Astyanax mexicanus: one gene and its partner. The main gene of each other region encodes a partner of the protein of the gene in region 2 in a complex. Links are inferred from orthologs where the notes say so. Each region holds a gene or a part of one and is shown on either strand. Other genes may lie near its edges.

What was found.
Region 1: lsm8 (region 2) and lsm6 share a complex: the UniProt entries of both Homo sapiens proteins name them as parts of the precatalytic spliceosome. The link is inferred for Astyanax mexicanus from reciprocal best matches to the Homo sapiens genes LSM8 and LSM6.

Annotation. Positions count from the first base shown.
Region 1 is NC_064414.1:49,785,710-49,795,555, forward strand, and holds the start of lsm6 (U6 snRNA-associated Sm-like protein LSm6), read left to right. Parts: upstream 1-5,852; 5' UTR 5,853-5,971; intron 5,972-7,990; 5' UTR 7,991-7,995; coding exon 7,996-8,089; intron 8,090-9,137; coding exon 9,138-9,251; intron 9,252-9,846. UniProt on the Homo sapiens protein: Plays a role in pre-mRNA splicing as component of the U4/U6-U5 tri-snRNP complex that is involved in spliceosome assembly, and as component of the precatalytic spliceosome (spliceosome B complex).
Region 2 is NC_064409.1:6,667,882-6,678,181, forward strand, and holds the start of lsm8 (LSM8 homolog, U6 small nuclear RNA associated), read left to right. Parts: upstream 1-5,908; 5' UTR 5,909-6,021; coding exon 6,022-6,052; intron 6,053-7,613; coding exon 7,614-7,654; intron 7,655-8,562; coding exon 8,563-8,690; intron 8,691-10,181; coding exon 10,182-10,272; 3' UTR 10,273-10,300. Other genes in the region: si:ch73-139j3.4 (CD82 antigen), read right to left, coding at 918-1,033, 1,272-1,350, 2,319-2,384. UniProt on the Homo sapiens protein: Plays a role in pre-mRNA splicing as component of the U4/U6-U5 tri-snRNP complex that is involved in spliceosome assembly, and as component of the precatalytic spliceosome (spliceosome B complex).

The sequences.
Region 1 (9,846 bases), on a different chromosome or scaffold from region 2:
ACAGACTCCACAGACATATTCCACACAGGCAGGCATGTTGCAACGAGGCAAGCACACCACTCAATTGCCTATAGGGCCCCGAGCTGGCCTTGGGCCCCCAGAAAACATCTGGTCATGAATTGAATGCACCTAAAAAAAAAATGTGAGCGCCCCTTTTAATTCTGTGATGGTCAATGCAGAAAAATACACTGACATTGTTATCGGAATCTCCCTCAAGGGGGCCCCTCCCACAAGTTGCTGACAGTAGCTAGCCAGCCAGGTTTGTGATTCCTGCAGTCGGCAAAATATGAAACTTCAACATTCATGAAGCCAGAAAAAAAGAAAGAAGAGAAAGGAAATAGAAGAAGAAAATATATGGATAATTTTATGTTAGTTACCAGCTTGGCAGTCAATGCTAGTAATCTAAACTAGAATAGTTAGTGCAACTTGTGTTGAACAGGCTTGTCATATTCGGGCAGAACTCAAACAAGCACAGATGTAAAATTAAAGCTTTAATAACAAAAGGAGTAATACAGAGAGTAGTTAGAAAAAACAGGGTCAGCACCAGTGAACAGTTTTTTAGCTTGCCATGGTGGGACATGGCAAAAGTCAAGGGACTTTGTCACATGACTCTTGGCACAACAGGGTATTCAGGTCCTTTAAGTCAATGACGTCAGGCCGATGTAAGACAGAATAACGTGGCTCAGCTTCTCACATATCTACGCGATCCCTTTTCAAATAGAAATAAGGCCTGGATACAAATTCGCATCAGACACATATTTGACACAGGGCTAGAGGCCACAGCCAGAGACTTGGAATCGCATTCTGGCTGCAGTCCATAACCGCGCGAGCTATCTTCGCTCGGTTATAGGCTAGGCCTTGCTGGATCTGGGTGTTAGTTGAGGCGAGCGAGGCTGCGCTGTTCATTTTTTTGATCAAGGCGACGCCCCCCCCCCCCCCCCCCGCCTCCATCCACCATCATTTCTAAGCTATTACCTCCATCCAGTGCGGGGATTAGGGAGAGGGCGGATGGGGGGAGGGTGGGGGCGGGAGAGAAAGGAGAGAAAGTACACGCCGGCAGCCAATCTGGTTTTCATTTGAAAACTCCCTCGAGGTTTTTCCATTATACCCCCCCTCCCTCCATATCCAGGCTGACCCCGGAGAGAAAGCCCTCGCCCGCGAAGGTCAGCTCAGTCTAGACTCTCCCCGCCATCCGTCCATCTCTCCATGCCTGCCTCCCTTCCGTCTTCTTCTTCTTCCCAGCGAATGTGCCTGCGGCAGGCAAGGGTTACCCCCGCCCCCTGTTTTCTTTTTTTTTGTGTTTTTTTTTTCCCCCGCTCCTCAGCAGCTCCTACACTCTCTACGCTCCTCCTCTCTAACCCTGCCATAGCTCCCACTGTAATCTTTTCATTTCGCCTCCCCTCCCTCTCAGGTCTTCAGGGGCTTGGAAAGGTGAAGCAGGTTGTACCAGCAAATCAACTGTGCCACTGTCCATCTGAGCACCCCCCGGTATCTCCGAGCCAGGCCCCGAAAAACAGTCCCATCTGCCCTCTCCGGGCGGCTATTACTGTTGAGTTACAGCTTTCGCATCGGTCAAGGCTCAGGGCACTCGTCCAAGGGTCGCCCGCTCGCAGCGCGCTCGAACGGTCTGCGCCGCCTTTTGTCTTTCGCAAATCAGTTTTGTATTTGCATGAGGCCCACCCACACCCGGCGGCGCGAGAAAGCCGCAGAGCCACCAATCGCTTTATTCATTTCATCATGAAAGAGAAAACGTGGTGCCGCAGAGCAGCGCCGATCCAGAAGGACAGGTCAATAAGGTTAAAACGTCTTCTTCTCCTGCGCACAGAGGCTGCGGGAAACATTCTCATCGCCTCTCCAGGCAACTGGCACAATGGCGTAGAGGAAAAAGCTCGTGAAACCCAAGTTGTGTCTCCACGGCTCCATTGTGTTTTCATTCAGTATCACTTAACAAGCCTGGCTCTTGGCTCCTGTCCAGTAAAGTCAAGAATGAGCTGCAGTACACCAGGAAGGTCAATATCGTGTATGTGTACGAGTGTGTACGAGTGTGTACAAGCGTGTATGTGTGTGTGGGCACTCTTTGTGTGTGTGTGCATGTATGTATGTGTGTGTGTGTGTATGTGTGTGTGTGTATTTGTATCGCTCAGCTCACAACCTCACAACATCATGACAGTAGCTCGTACTACCCCTCCATTATTATCAATCCTGCTGTTTTTCTCCTGCTGGACCTTCAGAAAGCAGCCGGTATATAACACACAACAATCGCTTTGATTAAGGGCAGGCGTTAAAGCCTCCGAATGGCTTCCCTTCCTCCAAGCCCCTTCCGGACACGGACCGAGGGAAGCGACGAGGGGAAGAAAGAAAGAGAGAGGAAAAAAAAAAAACGTTCATTGAATATTCATTAACCTGTGCCTAGGTGTGTACGCGGTTCTTAACCACACTTGTTTATGACTTAAGGACTTGTAGCGCTGACCTTAGTTTAACACGGCGCCAGATACCAAATTAACCTCTAGCCTCCGCAGGGCTCGCCATGCCCCGCTAACAAGCAAACTGTCTGGATGCGCCAGACGTGCTTTATGATTCTGCCTCTCAGGTTCCTGCCTCGCTCTGCCTGAAAGCAGCAGCGCACACTGCTCTCCAGCCCTGCTCTCTCTCCTCACTGTTTATCCTCCACCTACATCCATCCTCCCTTCCACGGCTCCTCTTAACTCAGCCTTCACTCCGACAAGTTCTTAGGACAGAGCGGTAGAAGAAAAAGAGATGATAATACCATAATACCATAATAATCAATGCAAGTGTGAGCTTGACCAACAATGCTTAAGGGGCTGCTGAATAACATTGGATAAAACATTGCAAAAAAAAAATGAATTGGAAAATATAGTTAAATAAGAGTTGTATATGTTTAAATTAAGCAAAGAAACAGCCAAAGTGGTAAACAAATTTTTCTTAGTAAGAGTTCCTAAAATAAGCACTCACAAAATGTCAGTTTTGGCTTATTTTCAGTTTAAATTCTAAGTAAGACTGATTATGATCATAAGTCCTAAAATAAGCCAAAGAATCTTACACGACTTACAAGAGAAAGACAAGTATGGTTGGTGTGGCGCAGTGGATAACACCACTATCTGCCTGGGTGACTGAATGCTGTGCTACACCAATAAGAGTCCCTGGGCTAGACTCCTAACACTACATTGGCCCACCTCTGTAATAGGAACAAGCTTGTAAGTCGCTCTGGATAAGAGCATCAGCTAAATGCCATAATTGTAAATATCATAGACTGTATATAGCTGGACAGAGCATCGTCTCTTAAAAGTGAAGCCACCACAGGTCGGGCGCCCCCTGCTGTTCGGCTGCAGAAAGCTGTGTAACCCCACCCATCCCCATAGGTTTCAATGGCAAAGCAGACAACTTTCAATCACGTTTTTTTTCTAATATACTCTAATTCTACCTCCATTATTTAAATGCAGCAGCTAGTGTAGCCTCTGCTTATATTGTCAATTTTTTATATCCCCACAGAATTCGGTTTTTGAAACTTTATTCGGCTCTATTCAAAAAAGGTGTGGTTATGGTAAAAGGGCTGGTTATGGGCGGGACCAATAACAGACCGTCAGCTCCGCTCCGCCCCGCTCTGCAGTCTGTGACCGCGAGGCAGCCCTCAGGGGCGGGGTTATTTAAATGAGTAGGAGCTCTCAACAGCCTTTCTCCCTACTCTGGTCTCTACTGCGCAGACTCTGGTCTCTGAATCGCCAAAACGGCGGAAGATTCTGGCTTCATTTTTATTTTTTTGCAGTGTACTGATCACCATTACATTTGTACAGTCCTAACTTGTAACAGTTTCTTTTGTAAACTCTAAGCACAAGCAGTTCAATATAGTATTGACAAAAAGGTTGAACTGTTGAAAGCAATATTATGTAGCAATTTTACCCTTAAAGAGTAGCTTCAGAACCATACTGATGCTCTGAAACTGAAAATGAGAAGATTGCATCTCTGGATGGAATGATGATACTGCACTGTGTAGTATGTTATGTATGTTAACTTTGATAGGCATTGGTTAGTGTTCAAATTCTGTAATTAAATCAACATTAATTTAAAGGTTTTAAAAGGTTGATCTCTTATACTCTATTAATAATAAGATTATTAATAATTATTATTTAAATGTCCTTTTCTACACTGCAAGACCACATTATATAGACTATACTAATAGAACACAAACAAGATATGCATATATAATGTAAGTAAAATGTAATACAAACCATTATTATAAAACAATAATACTAAATTAATGTTGAATCAACATGCACAAATAAATTCATTTTGATATCAGAGATCAATACAGTTATATTGAATAAATAAATAATATTGATTTAATGTCAATATTTTGCTGTCTGGTATTTGCAATTTCTTACTTGGTTCAAATCAACTGCAGCATAAATCTTTATTTTTACATGGAAATATGTAAAAAAGTTAAATGTAAAAACTATTAAATATGAAGTCTAGATTGAAAACTTACTTGTTTATTTAGCTTTTGGTAATTAATGTTTCTCCTTTTAGATAAGGCTGCAGATTCAGGGGTTCATGGACAGAGGGAATTGTGGGTAAACTGAGATGCTGGTGCTGTTGTTCTCCCACTGCACACGGTCACTCAGGTTTGTGGACGGTGGAGTGGGTGGATGCTGATGTTTCAGGGAGGCTCCGTGTCTATGTTACCTTCTGGCTCTCTCCCTTTAGTTAGTTTATTCAGATCTGAGTTTTATGTTTTATATTTTCTGTTTTACATAAATCCAGTAAAACTAATTCCATCTCTCTGCCTTCCTCCGAGTTACTGACTGCCCACCTGTCTGACCCAATACCGATGGATGTTGGACCCTCGGGCTCTCATGTCCCCTGTCCGGCCAGACTGATGGAAATTTCTGAAGTCAGCTCTTCTCCATCACCCACCACAGATCAGCTGCTCATCATCAATCTTACTCTCCACTACAGATTACATCCTTACATATACTCCAGAATATATAAAACCTATGTGGATGTATAAAGACTTTTTATATTTTAATTTAAAAGCCGTTTGACCAGTGGTAGGATGGTCACCCCTTAAATGTGAGTCTTGGTCCTCCCAAGGTTTCTTCCTCCTCCTGCAGCTCTGAGGGAGTTTTTCCTTGCCTCCGCGCTCACTGGGGGTCCTGTGTTCTGTATTTTCTATGTTTAATGTTTTGCCTGATTCTTTGTCCTTTGATCACATTTCTGTAAAGCTGCTTTGTGCCAACACCAGCGCTATACAAATAAATTTGATTTGATTTGATATGAACATGAACAATTCATGGTGGGAGGTTGTTTGTAACTATCACTAATGTGAAACTCACAATTATCAAGGGACTGCAGTTCATCTTGTTCAATATTCAGTAGTATTTTGTATTATTTTAATTAATTAATTGATTTTATTATTTTTTACTGAATCAGATTTTTTTAAAATATAACAATATTACGACTTATTATAACTGTATTATAATTGTATAATATTACAATTTTGATGTCCTGCAAATCAAATACTTGTATCTCCAGTTTTGCATTTTTAATTAATTTATTGTTTATTTTTTCTTTTTTTTTTTTTTACATATTTTTCATCTGTAAAAAGTGAAACATTACATATTTTTATTTTAATAATATAATATAATATAATATAATATAATATAATATAATATAATATAATATAATATAATATAATATAATATAATATAATATAATATAATATAATATAATATAATATAATATAATATAATATAATATAATATAATATAATATAATATAATATAATATAATATAATATAATATAAAAGCCCTTTGTCGTGAAGGCGAACTGTCCCTCAGCGGCACCCGTAGTTCTGTACTAAGCTCGGCTGCTGATTGGTGGAGCGCCATCAACACCGGGACGTGCAGAGAACGTTGTTGAAGCAGCAGCTAAGCTAACCTGCGCTAAAATAAGGTGAGTATAATCCGGCGGGTTATGGATTCAGTGCGGGATATAAACCCGCAGTTTATAAGAATAAATCGCTGTAGTTACAGTAATAGTGCGGGTTTATAGCGGAGGTTTGTTTATTATGCGGGTTTGGAGGCAGTTAGATGTGTAGCTAGGCTAGGCTAACGTGGCTAACTGCTAGATAATACTGTAGAATTCACTGGTTTAACTAAACTAGATAATCTAGCCTAACTGCACAAATTGAACCTTTTACTGTAGATATGTGAGATTTACGTGGTTTTAGCAGACAGAACTGCCCGAGTTTTTTTTACAGTATTTATACAGTATTTTGTTATACAGTTTTAGCTAAACACAGTAACGTTACTATACTAGTGAATCTCAAAAAACAATTTTACTTTATTTCAGTAAGTTAATTCAGTTCAGAATGAGAAACTCATATATTATATAAGTGTTACTGTTGTTGATTATGACTTACAGCCAATGAAAACCCAAAAATCAATATCTCAGAAAATTAGAATATTATATAAGACTTATTTTTGGCAGTGTGGGCAGTGTGCCAAGTCCTGCTGGAAAATGAAATCTGCATCTCCATAAATGTTGTCAGCAAAGGCAAGCATGAATGGCTGTAAGATTTTCCGAGAAACACCAGCAGATGACATGATGTCTCTCCAAATCATCACTGATTGGTGGAAACTTCACACTAGACCTCAAGCAGCATGCACTGTGTGTCTCTCCACTCTTCCTCCAGACTTCCTTGATTTTCCTAATAAAATGTAAACTTTACTGATGGTCATCTGCTGGTGTTTGTCCACTGTGATATATCAAGTCCAAAATCAGTAAATGAACCAACAATCAAGCTGATTTTAAGTACATTAATAATCGTCAAATATTGATGGTGTACTCAGTATGCTTATTAAAGCATCTTGTTTATTCAATAAGAAAGTGTCAAGATATGATAAAATATTGATCTATTGCCCAGCTCTAATTCTACAACTAGTACTGTGTATCTCAAACTACTGTTTATATACAGTGAGGCAAATAATTATTTGATCCCTTGCTGTTTTTGTAGGTTTGCTTACTGACAAAGACATGAACAGCCTATGATTCTAATTCTATCTTTCACAGTGAAAGAAATAATAAATAATAAAAATGGTATCTGTAAAATGCATATCAATGTATATCATTTATACAATGTGATTTTTCTGGATTTTATGTTTTATATATTTTATTGTTAAAATGAACCTACACTTAAAATTGTAGATGTCTTTTGTCAGTGGGGAATCAGCAAGGAATCAAATAATTATTTATTTCACTGTAAGTTATAAGCAGATGCATGTACCTACATGCTGTATAAGTTGCATAGCTGTCTCTTTAACTTATCCTCACCACACTCTCTGTGCCAGCACTGCACTGTCCCATCTGTTAACTGTCTAACTGATATGTATATTTCATGTATATTGCTATTTCTTTCTAGTCTTATGTTCTAGGTTTATGTTTGCACATTGCACTTTATGTATTTCATTGAGAGTCCTATGTTGCTTTATTGTCATTTCACTTCACTGTATACTTGCAGTCAGGTGAAACCTCATAACAACACCTTAACAACTACTTTGGATACCACAGTAACTAGCTAGAAATATCATAGAAACCACCTGGAATAACATGGCAATCACGTGGCAACAGCCTAGCATGGATTTGATACAGTAACCACTTAATCTGTACAACCATTTTGTGTGTCTATTAGGAAATGCTCTTTAATAGTTTATAATAGTTGTTTTTTAATAAGTCTAACAGTGTAAAGATGAGCATTGTGTTCAAGCTGAAAAGAAAAAAAAAGGATTAACAAGGTACAGATACTTTTGTGTGGGTATAAAAAATGAGTTCGCATGAATTACTGCAACATCAGAAATATTAAACATGTGATTAGTGTGAGATTGAAATGCAGACTTGCAGCTCGTCAGCTCATTATTATTCATTCTTCATTTATAATTCACTCTCTTTTTTTTCTTTTTCACTCCCTGTTAGTCAAAATGAGCCTCCGGAAGCAGACCCCCAGTGACTTCCTGAAGCAGATCATTGGAAGGCCAGTGGTGGTGAAACTGAACTCTGGAGTGGATTACAGAGGTAAAAGCACCACTGCTGCTTTGAGTAGCTGAAAATGAACTCCTGCTGTAATTTGCTGTGTGCTGAAGCTGCATCTGTTATGTATTTTTCTTCCATTATATGGGCTTTCTCAAGATTTATATATTTTACACTGGTAGTCTAAATAAATTGCTGAAGTGTTGTATTTTGTTATTGGAGGGAGACAAAATCCTTATCTTGTCTTGGTGACAACCTCACATTACTTTTGTTTTTTAAACTGATCTTATTTATGTTTCCCACACATAAGAGTTAGACAATATGACTAAAAACTTGTATTTTAATATGTTTTACAGAAATGGTAATATACAATATATAATGTACTGAAACCCTTAGAGTAGTGTTACAGAAAGTGTTAAACCGTCAGTATTTATTTATAACTAAGTAGGTATTTCACTGGCTTAGTAAACTGCACTGGATTATAATGGTTGAAATAAAGTAATGATGCTTCTCCTTTAATTATGATATTTCAATACCACAATTTACACAAGACTGAACTCCACAACACCCATGTACAACCTTTAAATAAATTGCACAGCTGCTTCGAAATTATGATTTGATCATTTTTATATATATATTTTTTTACAAAACAAGCTTGAATAAAGGGAATTATTTTACTGATCCTACACTTAAGCTGTTATTACCTGTGCAGAAGCAGGAGTGTCCAGCCTTAAAGAGCCAATAAAACTTGTGAAAAAACATACTTTTTCACACTAATAGGGAGGATGATGTTTCTGTGTACTTTGGTACGAAAACACTCACAACATGCAGATCAGTCAATCAGTAATACAATACCCTCCTGCTGACATCCAACCATCTGCATCTCACTGCTATCAGAGACACACTGCTGCATCTCAGCCAATCAGCTCTCCCTTCTGCCCCACCTCTAAACCCATACATCACCCAGTGTCCCTCCCAAACTACTCTTCCCATTTTTGTTTTTAGCCTTTTTTAAATTTGAGCTGAGGGTGCTGTCAGCTAAAATCAGGAGGTTTGGTGCCTCTTTAAAACTTACCTTATGGATGTTCTGCAGGTGTCCTCGCTTGTCTTGATGGCTACATGAACATTGCTGTGGAGCAGACAGAGGAGTATGTGAATGGCCAGCTGAAGAACAAGTATGGAGATGCGTTTCTGAGGGGAAACAATGGTAGGTAGCATAAACAACAAACAAACATGTAGCTTAACTGTGCAAGGGACACCTTACACCTGTTGATTAATGTGAACAAGCAGCATGTACAGTCCAGAGGTACTGCAAGACGTATAGAACCTATTTGCCCAAGTCAGAATGCCAGGAATGAGCTAGAGGGGAATAAAGCCCCCAGCATTGAGCTGTGGAACTGTGTTCTCTGTAATGATGGTACTTAATACAATACTTTTGAACAGAGTTGCAGAGTTAGGGAGTATGTAGGGTTGGATGATACGTAGTCAGTATACTTAGGAATTGTGGTGGTGATCATTATCTGATCATCATCCTGACCATCCTAATGCTCTTATTGCTGAATGCAGTCAAATTCTCACAGACAAGATTGCTTTAAAAAGTAGTAGAAAGCCTTTTTTAGATAGACCTTGATTTAAGTAGAAACAACGAATGAGAAGGTGTCCCAATATGTTTGTTCCTATAGTATACCTATAATGGTTCGTATGGCCTTGAAAAACCTGGAAAAGTCATGGAATTTGAAAATAGCAATTTCCAGGCCTAGATCAAGTTTGGAAAAATACAAATATGAAAAGAAAATGTTGGA
Region 2 (10,300 bases):
ATTCAGTCATGCACGCATGATATTTTCTAACCACAGTGAATGTAATGTGGAGTAACATGTTTAGGTTGTAAAGTCACTTTGGATTGGTTGGATTTAACTAATAAACACAAGTACAGAAAAATGTATTTGATTGTTTTAAGTCACTATAGGGTGGGCTTTGATTCATTTTAGCAAATGTGTCCATTCCCCCCCCCCCCCCAGCGGAGAGAGTGCGCATTTGTAGCGCAGAAAAACGGGCCAAAGAGTCTAAAAGCAGAGAGGGTGCGCATTTCTAGCGCAGAAAAAACGGGGCAAAAGAGTCTAAAAGCGGAGAGAGTGCGCATTTCTAGCACAGAAAAACAGACCAAAGAGTCTAAAAGTTGCCGTAATTAAGGAGTTTAATATTAAGAGACATCATGAAATGAAACATCAATTTGAAAAATCTTAGTTTACACAACACTGTCAAAGATAAAGATAGTAAGTCAAGTAAAATGGTGTGTAAATGAAATAATCAGGAAAATGTATTATTTAAAGTGGTATATTTCATTATTTGTTTTATTACAGAGTGTGGCCCGTAACTTCAAATATATTTCTCCTTCTGGCCCCCAACAAAAAAGTTTGGACACCCCTGCCTTAATACATACTAAACGTACAATTTTTATTATATTGTACATATACAACTTTGCATATTGATTGATGCACATATTGTGTTGACCTTAATGCTACTGGAAAAAAATACACTAAAGTGCGCTTTAAATTTTAATTTTAATTTAATGCCACTACATATATATTTTCTGTCAACACAACATTGAATTTAAAGCATTTTGCCTAAAAATACATTTAATGGAAATATAAAGAAAGTATATTTAATGCGTATTTTCATTGAGTATATTAAAGTTATTCAAGTATATTAAAATTCCTTTCACCACCATACTTACAACTGCAATGAAACATCTATTTTCTAGATAGACCCCGACACAGCCCAGCATGGAGACCCCCACGATCACCAGGCCGATGACAAACAGCCCTCCAGCCACCACCTCGATTTCATCCTCTGTGAGATTAGTGACCACACACAAACATGATGATGTGAACCAGCATGCAGTTGTTCATACCAACACAGCCTTACTCACACACAAAGTGACTTTTCCAAACCCGGCCAATAGCGATCAGCTTACACTCCCTCAGGCTCTCATTCACTCACTTATTCTTGAGCATGAGAAAACCCAGTACTAACACTACCACATTCCAGCCTCCTTATTACCAAACAGGACTAAATAAACAAGGCTTACCCGTGCTTAAAACAGTTATGAAGTTGTTTTTGTCAAATATGATCCATATAGAACATCCAAAAAGGCTGAGGCCGAGAATCTGTAAAGAGTGTTGACGTCTGTTAGGTGTGCAGAAGGTAGGTAAAATGTACTGTATTTATGGCACTTAGATGTAGTGTAATGAGCTGGAAGAACCATAAAAGTTATATCAGCTTAATATCTGCTTTATTATTTATATTCTTACAGAAACATATTGAATCATTTCATTTCATAAAACATTGTTCTATATTTCTTTATTTTTATTATCTATTTATTTAAGCCATAAATCATTTTAAGCAAGATTACAGCAACGTTAATCTACAGCAATCTCATGTTAGATTTACCACTTTTCTTTGAATTTCTTTGATTTTACCAAATTGAAAACCTCTGGAATATAATCAAGAGGAAGATAGATGATCACAAGCCATCAGGAGTGGCATAACATTTTCAAAAAGCAGTGTGTAAGACTGGTGGAGGGAATATGAACTTGCTTTCTTTACATTAATTGAGGTCTAAAAGCTCTGCATCTTTTTTTTATTTCATCCATTTCTCATTTTCTGCAAATAAATGCTCTAAATGACAATATTTTCATTTGAAAAAAAGCTAATAGAAACACACAGAGTTTCACATATATCTCACTTTAAATCTTAATACAAATGCATTTCACATACAGTATCACAATATACTGTATTTTGAGCATATTATTAAATCTAAATTAAATAGAAAAGGCTAATAGAAACAAATTGAGTTCAAATCCCAGCACAAATGTATCTCGCATACAGTATGAGAGTATACTGTATTTTAAGAATCATTTTAACATAAACTAAATAGAAAAAGCTAATAGAAACACAATGAGATAAAGTATATCTCACTATAAATTTCACTATATTTCATTATGTCACTAAATTTATCTCACATACTGCATTTTAATGCATTTTAAATGTCATCTAATAAATATAAATTAATAAATCACACTGGATTCTGAGTGAAAATAAATAAATACAAAATAAATTATATATTCTCTCTTACCACAAACAGGGAATTGACCAGCATTAACAGGAATATCAGTATCTGAAGTTTATCCTCTGCCTTCATGTTGTTAGAGACCAACGACTGGTAACCAAGATCAAACCCAGGCAGTGAAAGTGAGAAACAATGTCTATTTAAATTATTATTCCTTATATTTAAAAGATTATAACGTATTGATTTGTTTACCTGGCTGATTTAGCCCTGGAGTCTGTCCAAGTGAAACTGATTTTTTGAGGGAAAAGTTTATGTTTTCTTAGCTTTCATTCTCCTTATCACGTCTTCACCGGTTTCTGTGGCTTAGTTTACCAGAAGCCCTCCACTACAGCTGAAGACTGAAGTTCACTTCCTGATAACAAAACCAATCATTAACCTCTTACCATCACTCACACTGTGTATGTACCTGTAAGCACAGATTTTAATGACTGTGACCTCAAAATTACATTTCTTATCATTCTTTTTCATAATGAATCATCACTTAATCTTTCTTACACATATTTCTTTTTATTATTTGTCTATTTATTTAAGTAATAAATCGCTTTAAGCAACATTACAGTTATGTTAATGTAAAGGAATCTTATGTTAGATTTCAACAGTACATATATAATTTACTACACAATCATGCACAGTATTACAGTCTTATGCAAAAGGTTTACTACTTCTTGTCAAGTGACCCATTTTGTGGCTTTTCCAAGTGAATAGATCCTCTACAAAGGCAGGAAACTAGAATATAAATAAGGAAAATGTTGGGAAATTAAATGTAACATGTTGGAAAAAATAAAACAAAATAAAATTGTATTTTCCTTAACTATAATATTAAATTAAGTAGATACAGTACTCAAGTTTTAAAATGTAAGAATATGATATGGCACTATGGAGATCATTTTTGTTGCTTTTCAAAAAAAAAACAACAGTTTTTATTATGATATTATGACGAATAAAACAGTATAAACTGCTATCCAAATGCTATTGTTGGGTAATTTACTACAGCACGACTTAAAACTGAAATCAAACATGGATGTAAGAACTTCCAGTCCTAATTAATTATTTTCAAAATCTAAAAGTGTGAAACGACAACCTTGAGTCAACTGTTTCACCATTGTATATGATACATAGCTCTGGGAAAAAAATAAGAGACCACTTAAAAATGGTGAGTTTCTTTGATTTTACCCAATTGAAACCCTAAATAAAATCAAGAGGAAGATGGATGATCACAAACCATCAAATCAAACTGAACTGCTTGAATTTTCACACCAGGAGTATAAAGCATAAAGTTATCCAAAAGCTAGAGGTGGGCGGATCGATCCAAATATCGATAATATCGATACCAACGCTGGTATTGGTATTGAGCAATACTCGTGTAAAAATATCGATATTCAAGCTTTTTTCTCTGCCGCACGCACTGACTGCTTCGCACAAGATTCACCACAGTCTACTCTCTGGTCTCTTGTTGCTGCACATGCGTCACATGGCTCAGCAAAGCCAGCAGGTAGGCTCAGCCTGGCCCCGCCCACTCAGCGCTCTCCTCGAGTCGACACGCCTCTACCTCAGGAGATTAGTGTTGAGTGATATTTTTTTACACTCTGTTTATTTAAGAAAAACTTGCATTTGAATTGCACTGAAAGGAAGACAATTCCTTAGTTTTTATTGTTTTTCCAAATGACAATTCTATTAAAAAAAGAAACAAAGAAACAAAGAACTAGAAAAGATGTCTAGTGAGGGGAGAATTTTTTTATATTTAAACTTTGTTTTGTTACTGTTCCATTGTTTCTAAAAAAAATGTTGATTGTGATACTAAAGTATTTTGTTATCACTTACAATGTTTGGTGAAATTATATCCTAGGTTTTTGGATCATTTGGATCTATAAAGCTTAAATATTAAAAAGTATCGGTATCAGTATCGATATCGGCAATACTGGCCCTGCGTTTACTTGGTATCGGATCGATACCAAAATTCCCGGTATCGCCCACCTCTACCAAAAGCAGTGTGTAAGACTGGTGGAGGAGAACATGATGCCAAGATTCATGAAAACTGTGATCAAAACCAGGGTTATTCCATAAAATATTGATTTGAACCTTTAAAACTTTATAATTATGAACTTGTTTTCTTTGCATTTTTTGAGGTCTGAAAGCTCTGCATTTTTATTCTCATTTTCTGCAAATAAATACTCTAAATCCATAGTTTATAGAATAAAACAACGATGTACCTATAAATAGCAAAATCAGAGAAAGTGATTAAAAAAAAAAAGAACAACCTTCAAGGTCTGGTGTTACTGTGGCATGTAAAAAATAGCTTATTTCAATTATTTTATTCAATATTTATTTCTGCCTACCCACCATTTCCAGCATCTGCTGCACTACACACCTTCAAACTACTTCATATCTGCATTATTCTGATGTACCCACACATGTTGTATATACTGTGTGATGGGTCTGACTCATTGTTGCTGTTTTACTGCTGAGGACAACAATGACTGTATCAACACACCTGGGCATAACTTATTTTATATAGTGTTAAGGTGACCTTATACAGTCTGGGTTCTTTTCAAAGATTTCCTTCTTTCCTCCAGCTTTGAATGAGTTTATCCTGCCATTTGGCCTGGGGTTATGTATTTATGGTTTTCTGCTTTATTTATTTATTTTTTTTCTTATTTCTGTAAATTGTGACACAAAGTTGTACAAGGCACTTTACAAATGATGTGACTTCTGTAGTTAAGTTCCTTATATAATGAGAAAGCACATTGTGTAAGAGGTCGGAATGGTATAATATTGTTTGGAATACCATGCTATAAAATTTGAGGGTTATCATATTTTTGGAAAAAAAATACAGAGTTCAAAATCCAAGCAGAATTTTTTTATACATTTTACGTTTCTTAACATTCCTTCTATTAATTAATCACTTCAACCTTTATTTAAAGCAAAGCTTTTGTTCGACCCAAGAATGTGATGAAACTGGCCCTCATCAGGAACATCCAAGGAAAGGCAAAGCAAGAGTTACCTCTGTTGCACAGTATAAGTTCGTCAGAGTTACAAGCCTCCAGAGTTGCCAGGTTTGTGGTTTTCCAGCCAAATTGGGCTTGTTTAAAAAAACAGTAGCGGGATGAATATTACGATAAATAAGATAAATAGCAATACTGATAATAAATCACTTATAAACAAAATACTAAGTCGTACACTCATTTATTTTGGGCTATAGTTTAGGCTTCTGATTCATTATGTGTTCCTTCATAGTCTAGATGACTTCAGGATTATTTTACTATGTACTAAAAAATAAAAACATTAAACAAGAAGGTAAGTCCAAAGTTTTTTTTTGAGAGGATGAACCCACTACTGAATTTTCTGGGGGTTTACAGCCCTCCATTTATGTTTTTTTTTATATATATATATAGAGGTCAAGAGATCAAATGCACATGCTCTGCATGTTAGTGAGGAAAAGAAATACAATCTTCTGGACTGTAATTACATTTTACACGGTAGTAATTAATTACGGTAAGTAATTCCTTCATATGCTGAATTGATAAAGGTAGAAAGCCCATAGTCCGCAGGCTCAGAGCGCCCCCTACTGTTTACTGCGCTCAGCTCACAGCCGCCGCTCTGTTATCCTTTACTACAGTCTCTTCAGTGATCTTAATCAGCGGCTGCAGACGCGCATGCGCTGTGTATGAAGAAGCAGGAGCTGTGCTGAACTGGAATAAAGCCTGTGGAAATGTCTACCGCTCTGGAGAGTTACATCAACCGTATCCTTTACTGTTCAGACGCGTTACTGTTCTTTATTAGCACAGGAATGCGACGCTAGCTTAGAGGAGCTAGTTTGGCGCAGTCCGCCTCAGCACATCATCTTTATTAGCAAAGCTAAGCTAGCTCTGCTAGCTAGCCTCCTGAACCGCTTGCAGCGCTGTTCAGCACTGGGTTTCGCTAGCTATCCTGCTAATGTTAGTTAGCCTGCTAATCTTAGCTAGCACGCTAATGTTAGGTAGCCGGCGCCTGTTTATAACAAGTATTTGAGACGTACGAGGTTCGCTAGCTATCTAAATATGTGTGTTATATATCAAATATTGCTAATTCTGCATTTTTGTGGCTTCATTCACTTCAATATGTAACGTAGGTTAGCTTAACTTAGCCACGATAGTCCCAGATTATTAGCAGGCTAGTTAGCTAGGCAGTCGAAATAGCAGTTGCGTTATGTGAACGATAGATGGATGATAGATGGGAAAAGAAGTTTAGAGAGACAGATGGGAAGAAAAGGAAAAATAATAATAGAGAGAAAGAAAGAAGGTTGGAGAAAGAGGGAGAGACAGATAGATATATAGATAGATAGATAGATAGATAGATAGATAGATAGATAGATAGTAAAAGGGGAAAAAGGTTAGAGAGAAGCAGTGAAGAAAGAGAAATTTGAAGAAAGACAGTCAGTGAATAGGAGATGAAGTAAAAAAAATGAAAGAATAATAGAGAGAGGGAAAGAGAGAAAGATGGGAAGAATAGAGAAAGAGAGAGTGTCAGTGAAAAAGGGAGATGAGGTAGAAAATGAAAAAACAAATAGGGAAAGAAGTATGGGAAGAATGGAGAAAGGTGTTTGGAGAAAAAAAGAGAGTGAAAGGGAGATGAGGTAGTCAAGGAAAAAATATAGAGAGAGGGAGAGAAAGATGGGAAGAAAAGAGAAAGAAATTTGGAGAAAGAAGAGATTCAGTGAAATTGGCAGATGAGGTAGACAAGAAAACATAAAGAGGGAAAGAAAGAAGTATGGGAAGAATGGAGAAAGAGAAAAAAGCGAGTCAGTGAAAGATGGAGGTGTGGTAGAAAAGGAAAAAAAATAATAGGGAAAGAAAGATATAGAGGAAGAATGGAGAAAGGAGTTTGGAGAAAAAAAGAGTGAAAGAGGGAGATGAGGTAGACAAGGAAAAAATATAGAGAGGGGGAAAGAAAGATGGGAAGAAAGAAGAAAGAAATTTGGAGAAAGAAGAGAGTAAGAGAGTCAGTGAACACCATGTTCTAATGTTTGTGGACACCCTTAACACCCTTACTAATGAATGCATTAAGTTATTTTTAGTTGCACCCATTGCTGACTCATGTCCTAGGGACATCATAGGTTACCTAATGACAGCCATGGGCTAGAGGGGTATAGCATTGGTGATGTGATCATTCAACTTTCTGACCTCAATATCCTTATATTTGCCAGCTGTTATTTTTTTCTGGGTCTTTTGTTCACAGTTTGCAACTTGCTTAAACTTTCTATTTTGTCATAAATATGAATTTGTTAACTGACATCTGTTAAACATCCTTAACTCGTCTTTAAAGGAACTGTGGCCATCATTACATCAGATGGACGAATGATTGTGGTTAGTATCTTTTGACTTTCTTAAGCATGTGTAATATTACTGTACATCAACAAACTAAATAATTACGCGCATGCAGGCATTTATTGTCAAAATCAGTTTCTTCTCATCTCTGTGTAACTTTAATCTCTTTATTCCCTTTAAAATGTGTCACCTGCAGCAGCTTGCACAATTTTCATATAAACAACTGTGTACAACTGTACTATTTTTTTTACACACAAATATATGTTGTCTATTTAAAGAATGATTGATAGTCTCAGACTGAAGTCGTGCAAATCCAGTTTGTTTATCTTTAATGTGACACAGATTAATCTATTTAAAGCTGTGTGGATTCAAGATGTTTTTTAATTTAGATTTCTTCACTTCTTCCCCTTCAGAACTGCCAATAATAACTTATATTTATATACTGATGTACAATATACAGAATTGTTTATGTGCATATATAATATACTTTGAAAAAAATATATGTTTATTCTAATTCTGATATAATTCTCATATCATTGCTCACTCATATTGCTTATTATTTATTAGAAATGTGTCTCTCCTTGACACTAAGAGTTGTTCAAAGTGAATTACGTCATTATGAAGGCTTGTGCTGCTTGTTAGTTATTTGTTGATGTTAATGACTCACAAATTATTACCTCATTTTTGTTGACCTGGAAGTGCACATGCTGGTTGCTTGAAAGTGCTAATTATAGGGACAAAGTCACCTACCCACACAAACATGACCTGTAAAGATCAGGTCTGAGGAAAATCCCAAAACTGAGCCATAAGGCTTGTGACGTAAAGCTGATGTACAGCTTTAAAGAGTTTGCAGATTGCAAGGGTGTGTGGTAGAGGGGTGTGTTAGTAATTTGTCAGTACATCTCTCTTGGACAATGTCAGACTTATTATTCTCCTCTCCTTTTCAGGGAACACTGAAGGGCTTCGACCAGACGATCAACCTAATTCTAGATGAAAGCCATGAGCGTGTATTCAGCTCGTCCCAGGGAGTGGAGCAGGTCGTGCTGGGACTGTACATTGTTAGAGGAGATAATGTGTAAGTCATTTATAATGAAAGAACTCTGCCCCGTGTTTACATAGCTCTAACCCTAAATCTGCAGGTATTATTCTACACCAAAAGGGTAAACAGAGATTTCCAGTAAATCTGTTTATAAAATGGTGATTAGGAAGAGCTATAGCTCAAAGAACATTGGTGTCAGTCATTTTTCTAAAGCTGTAATAAAGGCAGGAGAATAGAGGCTAATAGAGGGTGGGGATGTTTAGACAAAATGAACTAAAGCAGTTGCCGCCGCATTGCTTTGTTCTTCATTTATATCTTCAAAGGTTTGTAGACAACAGTTCATCTAATATCTCCTCTAAAATCACGGGTATAAAAAGGAAAAGGAGGGTGTTCCTTCTTTAATTATCATTACTTTTTCTGAGGTTTTAGACTAGACCACTGGTTCTCAAGCCAATTTCCACAGGCTTTACAGTTTCCACTAATTCCAACACACCTGATACAACTAATGAACTAATTGATGAGCCACTGCTGAAACAAACTGGATGTTTTCAGTAGGAAAACACAAAATAAGAAAAGAAACAAGACCATGGAAATGTCAGCATGGTGCAACTTCCTTCTGTAAATGCAATGTTAATTAGGGCTTTATTGAGCATCAATTTCTTCTCATCTCCCTGTAACCTTAATCCATTGTTGTGGAAAAGGGACAAAATATTTAGTCTAATGGTACCAGTCTGGAACGACCATCACTGCTAAGCCTAATGTATTCATTCTAAAAAATGTCATGCATCTTTATATACTTACTAAATGTAAGCAGCTGATGGAGCAATTGAGACTTCAGAAGGGGAAACTCAGAGCTCAGTAGCTCAGTCACTCGTAGTAAAACCAACAGAAATGGAGGAGTGAAGTTTCTGACTGAGCGCGCTCTCTCTCTCTCGCTCTGACTGAACATAACCTGGAATCGGATTCATTCGTTCTGAAAGAAGACCTCATCACACCCGCCCAGTTTCAAATGATTCTTCCGCATGCTCAGTGCAATTACCTATTCTCACCAGAGAGGGCCCTAAATCCCAAAACTTACGGATACCAGCTTTTAAAAATGTCTCCTTTAGCAGCTTGCACTATTCTCATATGAACATCTGTGTATAACTGTATACAACCTCTTTACAGATAAACATATGTTTTCTGTTTTACAAAATATTTATATACAGTCTTTGATTGGATACATGCCAAACATTCCCCTGAAGTGCCCTTCAGAACTGCTGTAAGGATTTGATTGTGTTCAACCCTAAGAGCTTGCATGAGGCCAAATGTTGTATAGATGTTAAATAACTGATTGTAGATCTCAAACACCACTCCAGCTCATCTTAGAGCTATTCACGTGAGTCCAGATATTCCAGAGAACTTAGTAGTGTACCTTAAAGCTATATTCACTATCTGCTTATTTTAATGCCATTGATTTCTCCTGTTGGTTGACTTTTCCTTCAGCAAGTGAGATTGAGTGCAATAACACTTGTGCATGTGTTACAGGGCCGTGATTGGTGAGATCGATGAGGAAACAGACTCGGCACTGGATCTCGGCAACATAAGGGCAGAACCACTGAACTCTGTAGTGCACTAACTTTCCCCAAAGCACAAAGATGCAGACA